Lonchura striata: one gene and its partner. The protein of the gene in region 2 purifies or fractionates together with the protein of the main gene of each other region. This does not show direct contact. Links are inferred from orthologs where the notes say so. Each region holds a gene or a part of one and is shown on either strand. Other genes may lie near its edges.

Region 1 (7,271 bases), on a different chromosome or scaffold from region 2:
ACACATTGGAAAGGTTCAGCAAACTGACTTTCACTTTTAAATCCCATCTAGCTGCTTAACTCTGAGCCACTAGCCAAAAACAAAAGGCAAAAAACAAGACAGGAAATGCAGAAGCTGCTACAGCTGTTGGGATCTGCTGCCGTGGGGCCTCTTGCTCCACCAGTGACTTTACAAATTCTATTATTTTATTTCCCCACAGAACACAGAATCAGGCCATAAGCCTGGTTTTGTTTTATTTTGTGATTTTGATTTTGATTTTCATCAGTTGAGCAATTGGAAAGAATCACTTGCAACACGCAGGCAATTCCCAACACAGCCTTGGTGCTCCTTAAAGAAATGGACATGGAATTCCTCCCAGTGGCTGAGTTTCACCAACTGCTTGAGCTGAAGAGAAGCTCCAGCTTCCTTTGGGAAGGGCCTTTGCAACCATCATTTCTGCTGGAGAGCACTTAAATCCAGGGAGAAGAGGATTGTGCTAGCAAAGCAGGAATCAATGCCACGTGCTGTGAAATAGAATGAAATTCTAGCACACATCCCATGCTCCCGCAAAACCCACTCCAGACTACATTGCAGGAGCCATGTTTGGTATCAGGGAGAATTCCTTCCTGAAAAGGGCTGTCCAACCCTAGCACAGCTGCACAGATCCCCATCCCTGCAGGGACAGAAAGCTGTGTGGATAGGGCACTTGGGGATGTTGGGATAGTGGTGGCCTCGGCAGTGCTGGGGGAATGGCTGGACTCCAAGATCTTAGAGGGCTTTTCCAACCTGAGCAATTCCATGATTCTATTTGCTTCGGACAGTTTGACTTCTCAAATGAGACTCTCCCACAGAGAGACATAAGGAAGTGATTGTACTGAAAAATGAGCAAGAAAATAATAATTTTAAAAGAAAAAGTTAGAAATAAGTTTATTTTCACATACTTAAAGGTGCCATTTTTTATGAACTACTGAAACACACATTAACCTTTTAACAGCATATTGCCAAAAAATGTAAGACTTTATTTTGGTTAAGAAGTTCTCAGTAAATTCTATTTTTCTGCAGCAATCTCACATGCTTGGCCCTCTGCTTCTCAAGATCTGCTTTCAGCTACACCACAGTCACATTAAGATGACCTGCATGGTGGAAAAAAAGGGAATTAAAAGAAAGTGCCCAGCACACCAGTCAGAGGATTTAGCCACAGAAAAATCAAGTTGCTGGCATTCTTGGATATTAAGGTTAAACGCATTTTTTTAAAAGCCTGGCTTGCAATTCAAGAAATTGAAAGTGCAGGAATAAATTACATTTATAAATGTGAGATGCTTAATAAAGCAAATAAATATTTTCCTAAGTTTAGTTCTTTTTGTTCCCTGTAACCTTTGAATTTTGATGAACTATTTCAGTGCAGCCCTGTATATCTGCCAGCACTGTAAATCACACTATTTTCCCTGTACAACTAATTCCGTTCTCTTTTAGTGGAATTCTCTTCAGGGGGAATCTTGCACCTGTTTATACTGAACTGAACTTTGATAAGGATAAGCTCAGCTTAAGTTAAACTTTCTATCCCACTTCCTCTTGTGTCCTTTTCACAGAAGCCCCAAGCCCCTCTGGATGAGGTAATTCCATGTTGGATGTGCAGCACCTCCCACAACAGGAACATGACCTGTAAAGGGATTTACTGGGTGGTAGAGCAGTAAATCTAACCACAACATGATTATGAACTACTCCCCACTGCTTCCAAGGGAAGAATTCCAGGGGAATTCTTGATCCTTAACCGCAACACTGGATTTTGTTTCATTCATAATAATTTCCCAGAGAGAGTTTAAAACCCCTCCAATTCATGGTAAGAGAGGAAGAATTATATAAATTAACACTTGTTACAGCCTTAGACACTGGTCAAACTTCTCCCACAGCTCCTAAAATGTACTCTCAAACCCTGCTTAAAAGATTAAAGAGTATTCCAGACTTTTCCATCATCTCAAAATGCAGATTTAAGCAGGGATTAACGTCACTTGGCAGAGCACACCTACTTCACATAGGTGCCCGGAGCTGAGAAATTCTGTTTCACAGAATCATGGAATATTCTGACTCGGAAAGGGACCCACCACAAGCATTATCAAAGTCCAACTCCAGCTTAGGAATTCAGCTCCTGAGAATTTCCACACACCTCTCCCCGCAGTCACACTCTGAGGTACCACCCAGACATGGTGCTTGACCCTTCCTCCAAACACTGATGGCAAAAGGACTAGGAGAAAAGGGCTGGAGAGTTGATCCCAGCCCCTGCCACCTTCCCCCAGCCTAAGGATACTTTGGGCACTGATACCTTTGCAGCTGGAGAAGCCTGATCCAGGTGTCACTCTCCTGGAGCACTGGGAAGCAGGACCAACCCTCCCTCCAGACCCCTAAGAATGACCCCCCCTCGCTCCAGATCCCCCAGTAGTGACCATTCCCCGTCCCGATTCCCCAGGACGAGCTCTTCTCTGTGTATGTCTCGTGATAATGGCCATTCCCTGTGCCGATCCCCCAGGACGAGCTCCCCACTGGCCGGATCTCCTGGTAATCGACATTCCTTTGCCGATCTTCCAGGATGAGCTTCCCCCTGTCCAGACCCCCCGATAATTCCCTGTGCCCAATTCCTCAGGACGAACTCCCCTCCTCCCAGATCTCCAGATAATGGCCATTCCCTGTCCCGATCGCCCAGGACGAGCTCCCCTCTTCCCAAATCCTCCGATAGTGATTCCCCTCCGTCCAGACCCCGGAATAACGTACCTCCCTTCCTTGTAGATCCCCCCAGCAAAGACCACCCGTCCCTCCAGACCCCCAACACGAGCCCCACCTCCCTGCAGAGCCTCCGCTCCGCGGTAACCTCTCCCCCCAGACTCCCCCCCGATCTCGGCATCCGCCCCTGCCCTTCCTCCGCCTACCCCATGCGCATCTTCGACCCGGAATGGCCGCCGCCTCCGGGCAACGGGGGCCGAGGTGGGAGGCGGCCCAGATGCAGCTGCTTCTCCAGGGCAGACATGACAGCTAGGGACGCACCGGGAACACCGGGACCCCCGCGCCGCCCCCTCCGCCCCGCCTCGCCTCGCCGGAAGCGGCTCCCCCAACAGCGCCGCCACGCGGCACTAAGCGCACCCGCCCGCGTGGCACCGCGGGAAACGTAGTCCGCGCCCCCGCTCTGCCCGGCGGGGCGCGGGGCAGGACGGGAGCTGTAGTCCCCCGCCGCGGCGGCCGTTGCCGGGCGGGAGGCGCGGGCGGGATGCGGCGGAGGGGAGGTGCGGAGAGGGACAGAGCGGCGGAGCGGGGCTTGGGGGGATACAGCGGGGAGAGAAGCGTGCAGCTGTGGGACGGGAAGCGGCACGGAGGCTCGGGACGATGTACGGACCGCTGATGTCGCCTGTCCCCGCAGGTGCCGGCGAGCCCGCCGCCGCCATCAGCCTGCCGCCGCTGGTGCAGGGCCCGGCGCGCTGCTTCCTGCGCTGCAGCGTGCCCCGCGTGTTCTGGGCGGCCCCGCAGCCGCCCGCCGTGGTGCGCCTACGGTGGTGGGGGGAGACGTCCGGCGGCACCGTACTGCAGCCCGCCTGCCGGGCCGGGCAGCCCGCGGGGAGAACCAGCGCCCGCTTCACCGTGCGCTGCGGACCCCGGCAGCTCGCCGCCTACCTGGCAGGTAGGGACGCTACGCTTCGGGACCGCGTTAGGTTGGGGTAGGACGAGAGGACGCAGCGTTAAGGTGTGCCGGGGCAGGTTGGGGTCGGCCGTCGAGAGAAGTTTCTTCACGGGCAGGGTGGGTAGGCTGCCCAGGGGGTTACCCTCGAACAGCGGTAAGCATTTCCCTGTGTCCTGTTCCTTTCCTGGTAATCCTGTACTCGTTCATCATCATTTAGTACCAGTAATAATGTCTGTATTGACGCTTCTTCACCTGCTGCCCTGTTATCGTAATTTCCTTGTAGGACATAATGTTAATCTCTGGCGTTGCTGTCATTTTAGCCAAAAAGTGTCAGTTGTGACCATGAGACTGACTTGAAGATGTTCCTGATTTTTGCAGATATGGGCGTTCTGGTCCTGGAGGTTCTAACCAAACTTGACCACCTTCTCCTTGGCAGAGCACAGATCACTAAGCTGTCCCAGCTCTCTCCCAGCCATCCCATCAAAGGGTCTTTTCCTGTGGTGTCACCAACATCGGGTAAACTCGGAGAGCTGCAGGTAGTCTTGATGTCTTTGCTCATTATCATAAATTATGTGCTGTGACACTGGTATAATCAGGTGCAGGGTCAAGCTGTATATGGCACACTGCAGCTTTGCTCTCTGTCAAGGGCATTTCTGAGCTTAGGTAACAAATAAAAAAAAACAAATACTGCTGATATTGACTTTATTTTGTTCCAAGGGATGTGGGGTAGTTGAGCTTAGTGAGGAGCATGTGGTCATCTCTGTCACCAAGAGTGAGTGTTAACAGTGGATTTTAAATGGATATTTGGTTCTTACACTTCACTGGGCTGATAATAGAAGATTTGACATCTGGAATTAAGAAAATTCTGTCTTGCAGCCCTGGCTCTGGAAAATTGATTATGAAAGGCAGTTGACTGGGTCTGAAAACATGGAACAAGAAAGAAGTAGTTGTAAATATGTGACATAGCTGCGTAATGTAAATATTACTTTATGTAGAAAAGCAGCAGTTTTCCATTGCACAACAAGTGAAGTTTAATGCAGTGTTTACTGCACTTAAGTTAGGAAGAGAACAAAGTAATATTTTCACATTCTTGTCTTCCAGGTCTCACTGATTCTAGAACCTCTGCCAGAGCTGTATGATACTAGCAGCTGTGTGCTGACCACACAAGGAGGTTCAGTTGCTGCTGCTGCCCAGGGAAGCAGCAAGTCCCAGCTTCCTGCTCCATCCCAGCAGCCCAGGCACACACAGGTGACTGTTGAACAGGACTGGGTTGACAACAGCAAAGCCACATCTCCTAGGTATCCGTTTGTTTTTTTTGTTTTTCTCATGACAAAACTGTGGTTTATTTTGCAGTTCACACAGGATTTTTAGGTATGGCAGTACACTTGTGAGTTATGGGATGCTTGATGTTTTCAAACATACATCTTATATTAAATCCAGGATGTGGAGATTTCCAAGGTGACAGGGACAATTTCTTGTCTGATAAGAAATTTGCTTCTTAGGTTGACTTAGTTCAAGTCATGCAAGTTCACAAAAGAGGTGCCTCAAATCATCAAATCACAAAATAATTTGGGTGGAAGGGATCTTAAGGCTCATCTCATTTCAGCCCTGCTGCCAGAACACTTTCCACTATCCCAGGCTGCTCCAAGCCCCATCCAGCCTGGCCTTGGACATGGATGAAGCAGGCACGGCCTCTCTCGGTAACCTGTGCCAGAGTCTCACCGTGCTCCAGCAAATCACTTTCTCCTGATATCTAATCTAAACTTACCCTCTGGCAGTGAGAATCTGTTCCCCCTTGTCCTGTCACAAGATGCTCTTGTAAAAAAGATCTTTTTTTTAAAAAAAATCTTCTACTTGCAGCTTGGGTTGGTCTCTCTGATGGTCTCAGTGGCAGGTGAGGAATCATTAAAATAACATGTCATGTTTCCTGTTGGAGCATGTCCTGAAGGGAGAATTTGCAGAGCTCTGAATCCCTTTACCCACCTTCCTGAGTTGTCACTGTTTTTCCCTAGAGGAAGGGACGGTTTGCTCTACCAAAAGAATTCTGAAAACATGAAGAACACCTTTTCTGCTTCTTGTCACGGTGTGATTTTACCAGATGAACACTTGAAAATGAATCCTGCGAGTCAGCCCCTGTCGTTTCCCAGCAGCACTGATCCTGAAGCGCTTCCCAGGAGGAGCACACGGGTGCTCTCCATGCACAACGCCGCTACAAAAGACCTGCTGTCAGGTTTGTGTGCAGCTGGCTTCACATTTTAGATTTCACTGCAAACAGCTCTTGATGCTCTTTTGTCTGCCTGTATGGAGATGAGGTTTTCTGAAGGGAAAGACAGACTTCACACCCTCTTGCTGCATTATACCAAAAAGGCCTTGTCTTAAAACTTGCTGTTGCCTGGGCTGGACTGAAATAAGCTTTGGAGTAGGGCATGTTTCCATATGTGCTGTCTTTTGAGTTCCATATTCGCAGAAAAGAACAAAAATTAGACATCTTGAAGTGGCAAACTTCTCTTCCCTAAATTAGTACTGCTTCTGTATCCTAATAATGCCTTTCCAATACCTGACCCTGTGTGTGCAGAGAAATTCCCTGTGCAGTGGAGTGGGAGACTGATGGAGGATCATTCTCCCTCGCTCCCAGCTGAGCTGTTTTCTGGTGTATAAAACATATTTAATCCCCAGTGAGTCAAGATCTTTTTTTAACAGCAGAAAACAAGTTTCTTGACCGTAGCTGACACATTGATTATGTCTACACATTGCTCTTAAAATACATTTGAATGCTGAAATGTAATCCTTCTGCTTGTTTCCCAGCTCTCTTGGATCAAGGCAGTAAACTCCGTGATGCCATGGTTGTTTCTGCAATGAAGTCCAGCCTAGACATGGAGATTGAACTGAATAAAATATCTGATTTTATAGAGAGAGATGATTTTAAAGCACCAACAAAGTGAGTTTGGATTGAGGGAAGTGAGATGCAAGCTCCAAACCATAAATTTTGAGGCTTTATCCAGAAAACTGTAGATACTGAGATTCATAGGATGTGTTTTAGGATTCATTTGAGGTGAAAAAAGCACATCATTCAAATAGGAAGTTAATTTCTACCTGTGAATAAATGCGCGAATTTTGTGAATTTATTTTAATCTTCATGTAGTAAGCTTTGATTTAAGTATTTGATTTTAATTTAATTTTTTAGTATATTTGTATTTAGTTCTAAGTTATTTGTCAAGGAAATATTACATGTTGGTAGGGAATAAGAGTAAGACTTGAAAGACAGTGCAAGTGAAATGGCACTGCATCACAAGGAGCAGTTTTTCAGAGAAGTGTAAGTAATTCATAACCTAAATGCATTTTTTTTTTCCTTAGGGGAAAAGAAACTTAGATTTCTTGATTTTCTTCTGGAAAAATGTGAATATTACCTGTTGTTCTGTGATAACCAGAAAGCGATGTCATTGTCTTTGGTAGTCAGTGATGCTATTGCAAACTCAATTTAATTTCTTTCTGCACAAGCTATTTGCATTTGTGTTAAAGTGGATTATTTTGGACTTCACAGAAGACACTGATAGACCGATTAATGGATTAATCTTGAGTATGCCTTAATGTCTTTATTTGTCCTTTTTCTGCTGTCTCTGCTTCCATT
Region 2 (7,956 bases):
GTTTCGCCAAGACCTGGAAACGCGCTCTGCTGACGGCGGGAGAGGGGTCGGCTAGCCGGAGGCGGGCAGAGCGCGGCAGGATTGCTCCATTTCCTCGGGAATATCCGGATGCATTTAAGGCCACATCTACAAACTACACGCCCTGGAGCCCTGCAGCCCCGTCACCGCAGCCGCCGCGCCGGCCCCGCGGCTCGGCGTTTCCCGGCGGCCCCGCCCGCGCCCCCGCGCCCCGCGTACCTTCCGCGTGGCAGCTGGCGGAGCGGAGCGCGCCGTGCGGCCGGAACAGGTACGGGAGGTACCGCGAGAAGCATTTCATCTTCCGCGCCGGACCGCGCTCGGACACGGACCCCGCACCGACAGCGGCGGGGAGAGCGGCAGCGCCGGCCCGCGCGGAGCTGTCCGGCCCCGCTGCTGCCGCAGCGGAGCGGAGCGCCCCGGCTCGCCCGGCCCGGCCCGGCCCCGCCGCATCGGGTGCGGCACGGCCGGCAGCGCTGACGAAGCCCGTCCCGCCCGCCAGCAGCCGCCCGGCGCCCCGCGGCCGGCCCCGCAGGGATCCGCAGGGCCCCGGGCCGCCCCGGGCCGCCCCGCTCCGCCGCAGCCCCCGCGGCCGCCGGGAGCCGCCGCCGGGGCCGCGCAGGGCGCGTCGCACCGGGGCCGCATCCCGGGACCAGCGGGACCGGAGGGACGGACGCGTGTCCTGGCACTGCCGCACCCCGGAGCCGAGCGAGCCGCCCCGCACCGCCGCAGCCTCGAGGAGGTGTCGCCTCTAAAGTTCGCGCTAACCCGTTTTCTACAGTAGACTCCTAATAGCCAATCTATCAGAATAAGGCAAGGTCTCTAAAACCTGTTTGCTTTAGACAGTACTGAAATGTGGTTCAAAGCACTGTGATATGACAGTGGCAGTCAGTAACGTCATGTACTTCACATTTAACACTGAAATCAGTGTTTGAGCAGCTGAAAGATGTCTCAGGCCTCCCATCTATGCACAAGAGAGCTCGTTCATTCCCACAGTTGCTTTAGTTAAAGGATCCATTACTCCCCTGGTTTCATCGGGACAAGTACCACAGACTGTGACACCATACTCCAAGTCAAAGCAAGGAACAAAGAAAGAACAAAATGAGGTAGTTTATGTAGATTTGTTTGTGCAGCTTCTGTGTGGACAGGAGCAGACAATTACCACAAAATTAATGGCAGAATTATTGTTGGCAACATTTGAAATATAATTTCAAAGCCAGAATGACAGTCCATCCTGCTGAAGGAGGTAGGCTCTACTACATTCAAAGAGCATTGTAATAAAAGTAACATCTCTTCTCACCTGACCATGCACAGCTGTGTGCTTCATAGTCACTAAAGAAATCACATTCTGCAAGTTCAGGATGCTTGGATATTAGCAAGAGTTCTGAAGGTCAAAAATGTGTTGCAAAGACTAGAGTAATAGTGGCAACTTATGGATAAACTTCTGATGAAGGTGAGGCATCTGTAATACCATATTTATGGCTTAATTCATGTACACACATTACTACCTATACACGTGTACACTCACACGCCAACGCAAACCAGCACAAGAACCAAAGCCCATCCCACATGTAACACTTGTGTGAGCTTCCTCCTCAGTCATGGTCATGCTGTTTGTGCCTGTTCAGATTGAATGCACCAATGGCATGGCCTTTTAATTACTAGTTTTACTGAATGCAGCTTTTAAGTATTATTCATTAGCCTTTACTGTTCTGTGAGGCCAGATTACCGCAAGAAAAAATCGCAGGGCTCCTTTCCTGCCATCATGCCTCTAGGTTCATCCACTAAGTCTCCAGTGGTAAAAAAATAAAGCTTACAGCCCTCAGCTGGTAAGTGGTTACATTAACAAAAGAATAGAGAGTGAGAGATGCAACCTAATATTTCATTAATCCTAAAGTAGCAAACAAGTACTCCTGAGCAGTTACAATGATCTGCAGATTCTACAGTAAAAGCTCAAAACACTTGTAAATAATTTTAAAACCAAAACAACAAAACAAAACATCAGTAAAAAATATTTTGGCTTTAATCACTATATTGCTGTTTTCCTCTAGGGATTTAATAAATTATTAGATATTCTTCAGAGTGATGTGCCCCAATGTAATCTCTAGAGATTACAGACTGAAACCCTCTTCTGCAAAAGCAGCATAACAGAACTGCCACTGAAGCAGGACAGGTGACAGTGCTCGAGGCAGAGCCTCATTCCCACCAGGAGAAGTCAGAGCTCTGCTCTCAGGGGCTTGGGCTGACACAGTCCCCTTAGTCTCACAAGACTGTGCTTTTAAAAAGGTCATCACATTTCATGGACCGCAAAAAAATATAAGGAGAATGTCTAATAGTCCATCTCAGTTCCAGAACTGATTCTGGTAAAGGTTATAGTGGGAGAAGCTGTCTCATTATTCCCTGAAAAGCTCTAAATAACAGCTGAAAACCAAAAGAAAATCTATTTCAAAGGCTATTGCTATGATTAAGCTATAATGCCCTCAAATGAATTCTTGGATCAATAGCTAATTTAAGAGGCCCATCTCTTTCAGATGCACAAGTACATAACGAGGGCAGAAACCGAGGAGCATGGCTTAGCTCTGTCCCAGCAGCTCCCAACAACACGCAAAAGACCTCCCTGCACACCAGCTAGGCAAGATGTATGCGACAAGTTATCTTTGGTCACAGCAACAAAAAGAAAAATAAACTTACATTCTGCCACCCCAGCATCTATAGCTCCTTTTACTTGACTGAAGCACCACAGCACATCCTGCATGAGGCTTCCAAATCCTGCCAGGAAAACACATTCAGAAAGAAGATACAATCACATTGGTACATAGCTTGTCCTTTTTTAAATGAATGCACATGCACACACAAGGTGCAATCTCTGCATGAAGATAAACAGCTGCTCACCTGGTGTCATAGTTCCATGCAAAGCGCAGAGCTAGCACTGCAGAGCCAAGAGCAGCATGCCTGCCTTATGAATCACCCTCTGTTCTCTCCGTGCCATGGCAGGGCTGTTGGGAAGTGGAGCCATCAGAGTCAGTCCCCTCCACATCACTGGCAGCAGCACAGAAGTCAGGAGGCCCTGAAGTCATGGTCTTTGTCACAGCCTCCCTCTGTCAGAATACTAATGCTCCCAGTCATTTCCTGCACAGTTAAAGAAGGAGTAAAACAGGAAAAAAGAACTGCTCCTACTACCACAAGAAGTTATTTTTTCACATTTGTGGTCAGTGTAGTTCTGAACTGCTTGGCAATGAACCCAAGCAGCATGGAGCTGCTTTACAATACATTATAACACTTTCCTCAAAATCTGCCTGCAATCACAATTGCCTTATAGCTGCTTTAAAAGACTACTACAGACATTTCTACTTAAAGACATATTATTAAGCTGTAGTGCTTTCAACTGTGTTTGCTGCTGCAGCAATACTCTGTGTTAAGACTCTGAGAGAAATTAGGATTTCATCTACCAATGCCCCTTGTTTCCTTGACAGCTGAGCAGAATTTCCCTTTGTGTGACACAGTTTTCAGTATTCCACAAAAAAATCCACTGCCTCAAAGGACAACTTTTTTCCTTTCATCCTACACACATTTTATCTCAAAGAATTTCCAGGCATGAAGAAAGCAGGGAAATGAAGCCACAAGGAACAGTCAATTTCATCTCATTTGTTTCACACACAGGTGAAATGTGTAACAGAAAATGTAGGCATTTCACAATTGGCAAGTGTGATACTGGGCTCAGTCTGGGGTCTTGCTACAGAGACACAGACTTGTTACTTCTCTACGAAAGAAAAGGAAAACACAGGTTGGGAGACTATGTCCAGTAGGGCATATGACCAAGCAATATGGGATATGCTGTAGCCTAACTGGATGTCTTTGTGAGATCTCTGTCTGATTTTACTTATGTTTTTTGTATTAATACAGGTATGTATCAAAATAATGTATTAACCTGGAATACATAATAGGTACAAAGTCAAGAGTGAGCTTTATTGGGTTATTCAAGGCGAATACAAGGAAAAGATAGAACTTTAAGGGTATGAAAGGGGGAGGGTGAGGATTAAACTCTGCATCTAGGCAATGAGGAGATGACCATTTTCCAGAGGCTCTGTGGTGCTTCCTGCAGCTTGGGCAGCAGCTTTGATAAGAGTGACAGTGAGTCTAATATCTGGGCAGTTTGCAGGGCTCTGTCTCACATCTTCACTCTCATAAACATTGCTGATCAATGTATTTTTTGCCCATCAGTCTCTGGCAGGATTTGTTCCTATTCTCACCACTGTGGTTCTCACACTGACACCGGGAATGGTTTATTCCTGCTTTGCACTGGAAGTGCTGGCAGTAGCAGACAGGATTTCTTAGCCCTTGGTACTGCTGGACTTCCAGAGCACAAACACTGCACTGTTGCAGACACCAGGCTGGGAAAATCCTGTAGTAACTGAGCCTTCTTTTCATATGATGGAGATGGATATTTAAAGAAAGTTGTTCTGGTTTTTAAGGTTTATTGCTAACTTAATTTGTGAAATTTCTCTCTGGACATTCAGACCTCCCCTGTAATTTTTGGAGTTTTTCTCTTGGTACACCAGTTCTTGCTTTAAGGATGGAAATTCACTAATGAAGTACATGTCTATGATATTGATGTATAGGAAAATCTTGCCTGCAAGCTTGGCCTCTCTCTTGCCAACATGCACACTAAAAGCCTTTTCATTCTAAGAATTTGAAGAAATCTTTTAAAAATCAGATATGCCTGGGGAAAGGCTGCACATGGATATTGATTAGCTTTATCTGTACTGCATCCAGCCCTGGGACTGAACCAGTCCAAATGCTGGGGAAGAGCATCTGTTTGAGGTGCACACAAGAAGCCTGGAATGCTGATGGGAGTGAACAATGGACACAGGGATCCTGTCCCAGTGGGAGAGATTTTGATACATACTAGTGAAAAGAAGCAGGAGGAACGCTTCTACATCCAGCCACCTATTGACACCTTGTGTGACAACGAACCAGTGTTAACTAATGAGTTCCATTTCTCTGCAATGAGAGCTGTTAGCCACTATTAACAACCCAGCTTGCTGGAGGAGAGCTGTCACTTTGGATTCTGAAGTCCTGTCCTGCCTTAAATTCTAGTGACCCCTAGCTGAGGAATCCTAGCGCTTCACATCCTGCAGCCAGGAAAAGACATTCCTCTGTGTTCTCTGAAATGGAGCTCAGACTCTACAGAAATCTTGCTGGGATTGGTGTGTTTAAAAATGCAGGTTCTGGGACACTGTGGTTTACATTGTGAAAAGGATGTTCAAGCTATTTGCAGAAGCAGCCGCCTCACAGCATGTGTCAGAGTGGGTGCAGATGCCATAATCTGTGCTGAGTCAGGGGCCAGGAAAACTGTGAACGAGATAAGGCACCAGGGACAGATCTGCCCATCCAGAAAACACTTAATCCCTGATCATGGGACAGCCCCTGCTGCAGGAGGGGAGCCCTGGGTGGTCCACACCCCTGCACAGCCTGCAGTGAGTTTTAACCTTGATTAAGTATGTATACCAATTCCTACACTTTGGCACTGGCAACTGCCTGCAAAGCTTACAAGACAATTCTCATTCAGTAGGAGCTGTGGGCAGTGTGCGAAGGTGAGCCCACTTTAATCACAGGAGATGCCAGCAATGGGTATTGAAATCTAGCACATTACAAGCATACCATAATGTTAATGTCTACTGGAAGATTACAGCTGAGTTATGGCTGCTCAATTTAATTTAATTTCTTTAATACTTATGGTTCCAGAAAATGCATAGAATAAGTATAGCAAAACTTCTCTGTTTTTTAAGCCATTGAAAAAAATTAGTTTGATAGTTGAACCAAAAGTATAGGTAGCTGAATAGTTAAAACTGTAAAGGTGAATAAAACTTATAAAAATTATATTTTAATTCAGTGGCAGCCATTAGGGGCTTTGCCCCCTCTGACCTTTGCAGACCCCAGGGGTTTTTCTGGCGTGCCCAGGCTGGGGTAGTGGTGGGGTTTATGTGCTGGAGGAGTGTATGGGTTGGTGGCAGGAACCTCTTGGAGGAGAGGGATAAGCCGTGCCTCCTCTCCATTAGAAGGCACCAGAGATCCACCACGGCGCTCCCATTCCTCAAGCCAGGAAAGCTGGCAGTGGCTGTTGTGCATGACGGGTGACAGAGAGAACACTTCACTCCCCTGAGTTTCTTTTAGTACGAGTGAAAAAATTCCCCAGCATGGGACATGTCTCCTCTTTCTGAGCTGACACAGTAGAAAAGCTCTATTCCTTGAGAAAACTGGGGGATATGTTTCACTGATTTTCTTCCTAAGTGTGCTGTCTTTTTATTGCAGACCAAAGCCTCAGCTCTGGGACACGAAGCTCTCTGTTTCCCATGGAAAATTAATCCTCCTGCTGCACCAAGCAGAATGCGCTTTCCCATTGCCCATGGGGAACAGAGTTGCCTGTTTCAGAGGAGCTGTTGCAGATCTGCCTTCTGTCATTTGCTGTTTCTTTGGCCTACTCAATAATTAGACTTTAATATTTCATTTCTGTTGACATACAAGATTCTGAAACTCTCCAGATAACCCACTGTACAGAACAACTCTGGACTACTACTTTTTTTAATATTTCCACTACTGATTCTACTAGTTTTACTGGGTTTGTCCTGGATTATAGCTTTTGCTGTAAATAAAATCAGAATAATACTGTTTAGAAAAAAAATTCTAATTTCTTATGATAAAAATTTTCAAGCTTCATGTAAGTCGCTCATGTGAAAAGTCAAATAGAAGTGATTCTTCATCCAGCAAATTTTAGTCTATTCAGGAAAAGCTGCTTCAGACAGAGAGAAAACCACAGGTGGATACTCTAAAAGGTAGAGTTTGGTCTTGGGCTGGGAAGGAAATCTTGAGCATCTCCTGATTTTAGAGCTGTAGACAAATCACTAACAATTCCCTGCAACTTGAACACCTTACCCTACCCACCACAGATGGTTTACTTTAAACCACTTTGTTACTTGGTTTCTGTGTGGTAACTGCTGGATCCCCATCCTTGCTGTAAGGCTGTGCAGGTCATTTCCCAGGACAGGAGCTGGTGTCCCGACGTGGAGCTCACCTGCCCCCAGAGCCCTTGTATGTGTCCTCACCTCAGAGCTGGGTTTGAGGACAGATGTCCCCTGGCCCAAACCAGCTCTGCAGGAACCCAGCCTCTTTCTCCCTCTGCAGTCCATGGGTCTGTATTTCAGACGATCTGAATTGCTTTAGATAGTTTAGGAGAGACTCAGCTGTGTTTCAGCTTATTGGTTATTCTCTAAGTAGTACATGAAATGGCTAAAATTGGGTAAGTGCTCTGACTTCTGCCTGTCCTGGGGCAAGGACTGCTCTTCCTTAGAGCCCTGGGAGTATAAACCTTCCCTGGCATTCAGGAATGAGAGGAGAAAAGCCAGTGTCCGAGAGTATGGACAATGGGGTGGGAAATGTGGTGTCTCTCTTCTTATGGATCCTTTCAGGGGAATGCGGACGGGCAGCGTGACCCCGGCCATACCGAGACCTGAGTGACCGAGGCTCCGACGGGACCGCCCTCTGCCAGCTGCACCCCGAGGCGGGTGCGGGGCTGGATGCACCCGGGCACCGAAGGCGGAGCCCGCATACCCCTTCCAAAAAAACGGAGGGCAAGGCACGAGGCTTACAGGAGAGAAAGGATAACCCCGCAGCAAGGGGCGGCAGAGGGGTTCGGGCGGTGGGGCCATCAGAGGGAGTGTCGTTCCCGGCCGCAGGGCGGGGACAGGGACACGGACACGGACACGGACACGGACACCTTCCTGGCGGCGCGGCGGCGTGTCCGCGGCGCGGCCCCACGCGAGTGTCGCTCAGGTGCCGCAGGCTCCTCCCGCCGCCACCGGGGGCCCGGCCCGGCCGGTTCCTCGGCTCCGTCGCCCCCGGCTCCTCTCCTCCGCAGGCTGGTGCCGCCCGCGCCGACGGCTG

What was found. Proteins that work in one complex are often made in the same cells at the same time.
Region 1: the proteins of PPP2R2B (region 2) and PPME1 purify together in Homo sapiens (affinity purification with mass spectrometry; 3 studies listed by BioGRID and IntAct, with this or other methods). This does not show direct contact. The link is inferred for Lonchura striata from reciprocal best matches to the Homo sapiens genes PPP2R2B and PPME1.

The regions. Positions count from the first base shown.
Region 1 is NC_134604.1:19,315,938-19,323,208, forward strand, and holds the start of PPME1 (protein phosphatase methylesterase 1), read right to left. Parts: upstream 3,073-7,271; 5' UTR 2,999-3,072; coding exon 2,901-2,998; intron 1-2,900. Other genes in the region: C2CD3 (C2 domain-containing protein 3), read left to right, coding at 3,236-3,251, 3,386-3,643, 4,022-4,179, 4,745-4,941, 5,656-5,873, 6,449-6,581. UniProt on the Homo sapiens protein: Demethylates proteins that have been reversibly carboxymethylated. Demethylates PPP2CB (in vitro) and PPP2CA. Binding to PPP2CA displaces the manganese ion and inactivates the enzyme.
Region 2 is NC_134617.1:362,404-370,359, reverse strand, and holds the start of PPP2R2B (serine/threonine-protein phosphatase 2A 55 kDa regulatory subunit B beta isoform), read right to left. Parts: upstream 3,044-7,956; 5' UTR 2,918-3,043; coding exon 2,908-2,917; intron 2,785-2,907; coding exon 2,707-2,784; intron 1-2,706. UniProt on the Homo sapiens protein: The B regulatory subunit might modulate substrate selectivity and catalytic activity, and might also direct the localization of the catalytic enzyme to a particular subcellular compartment.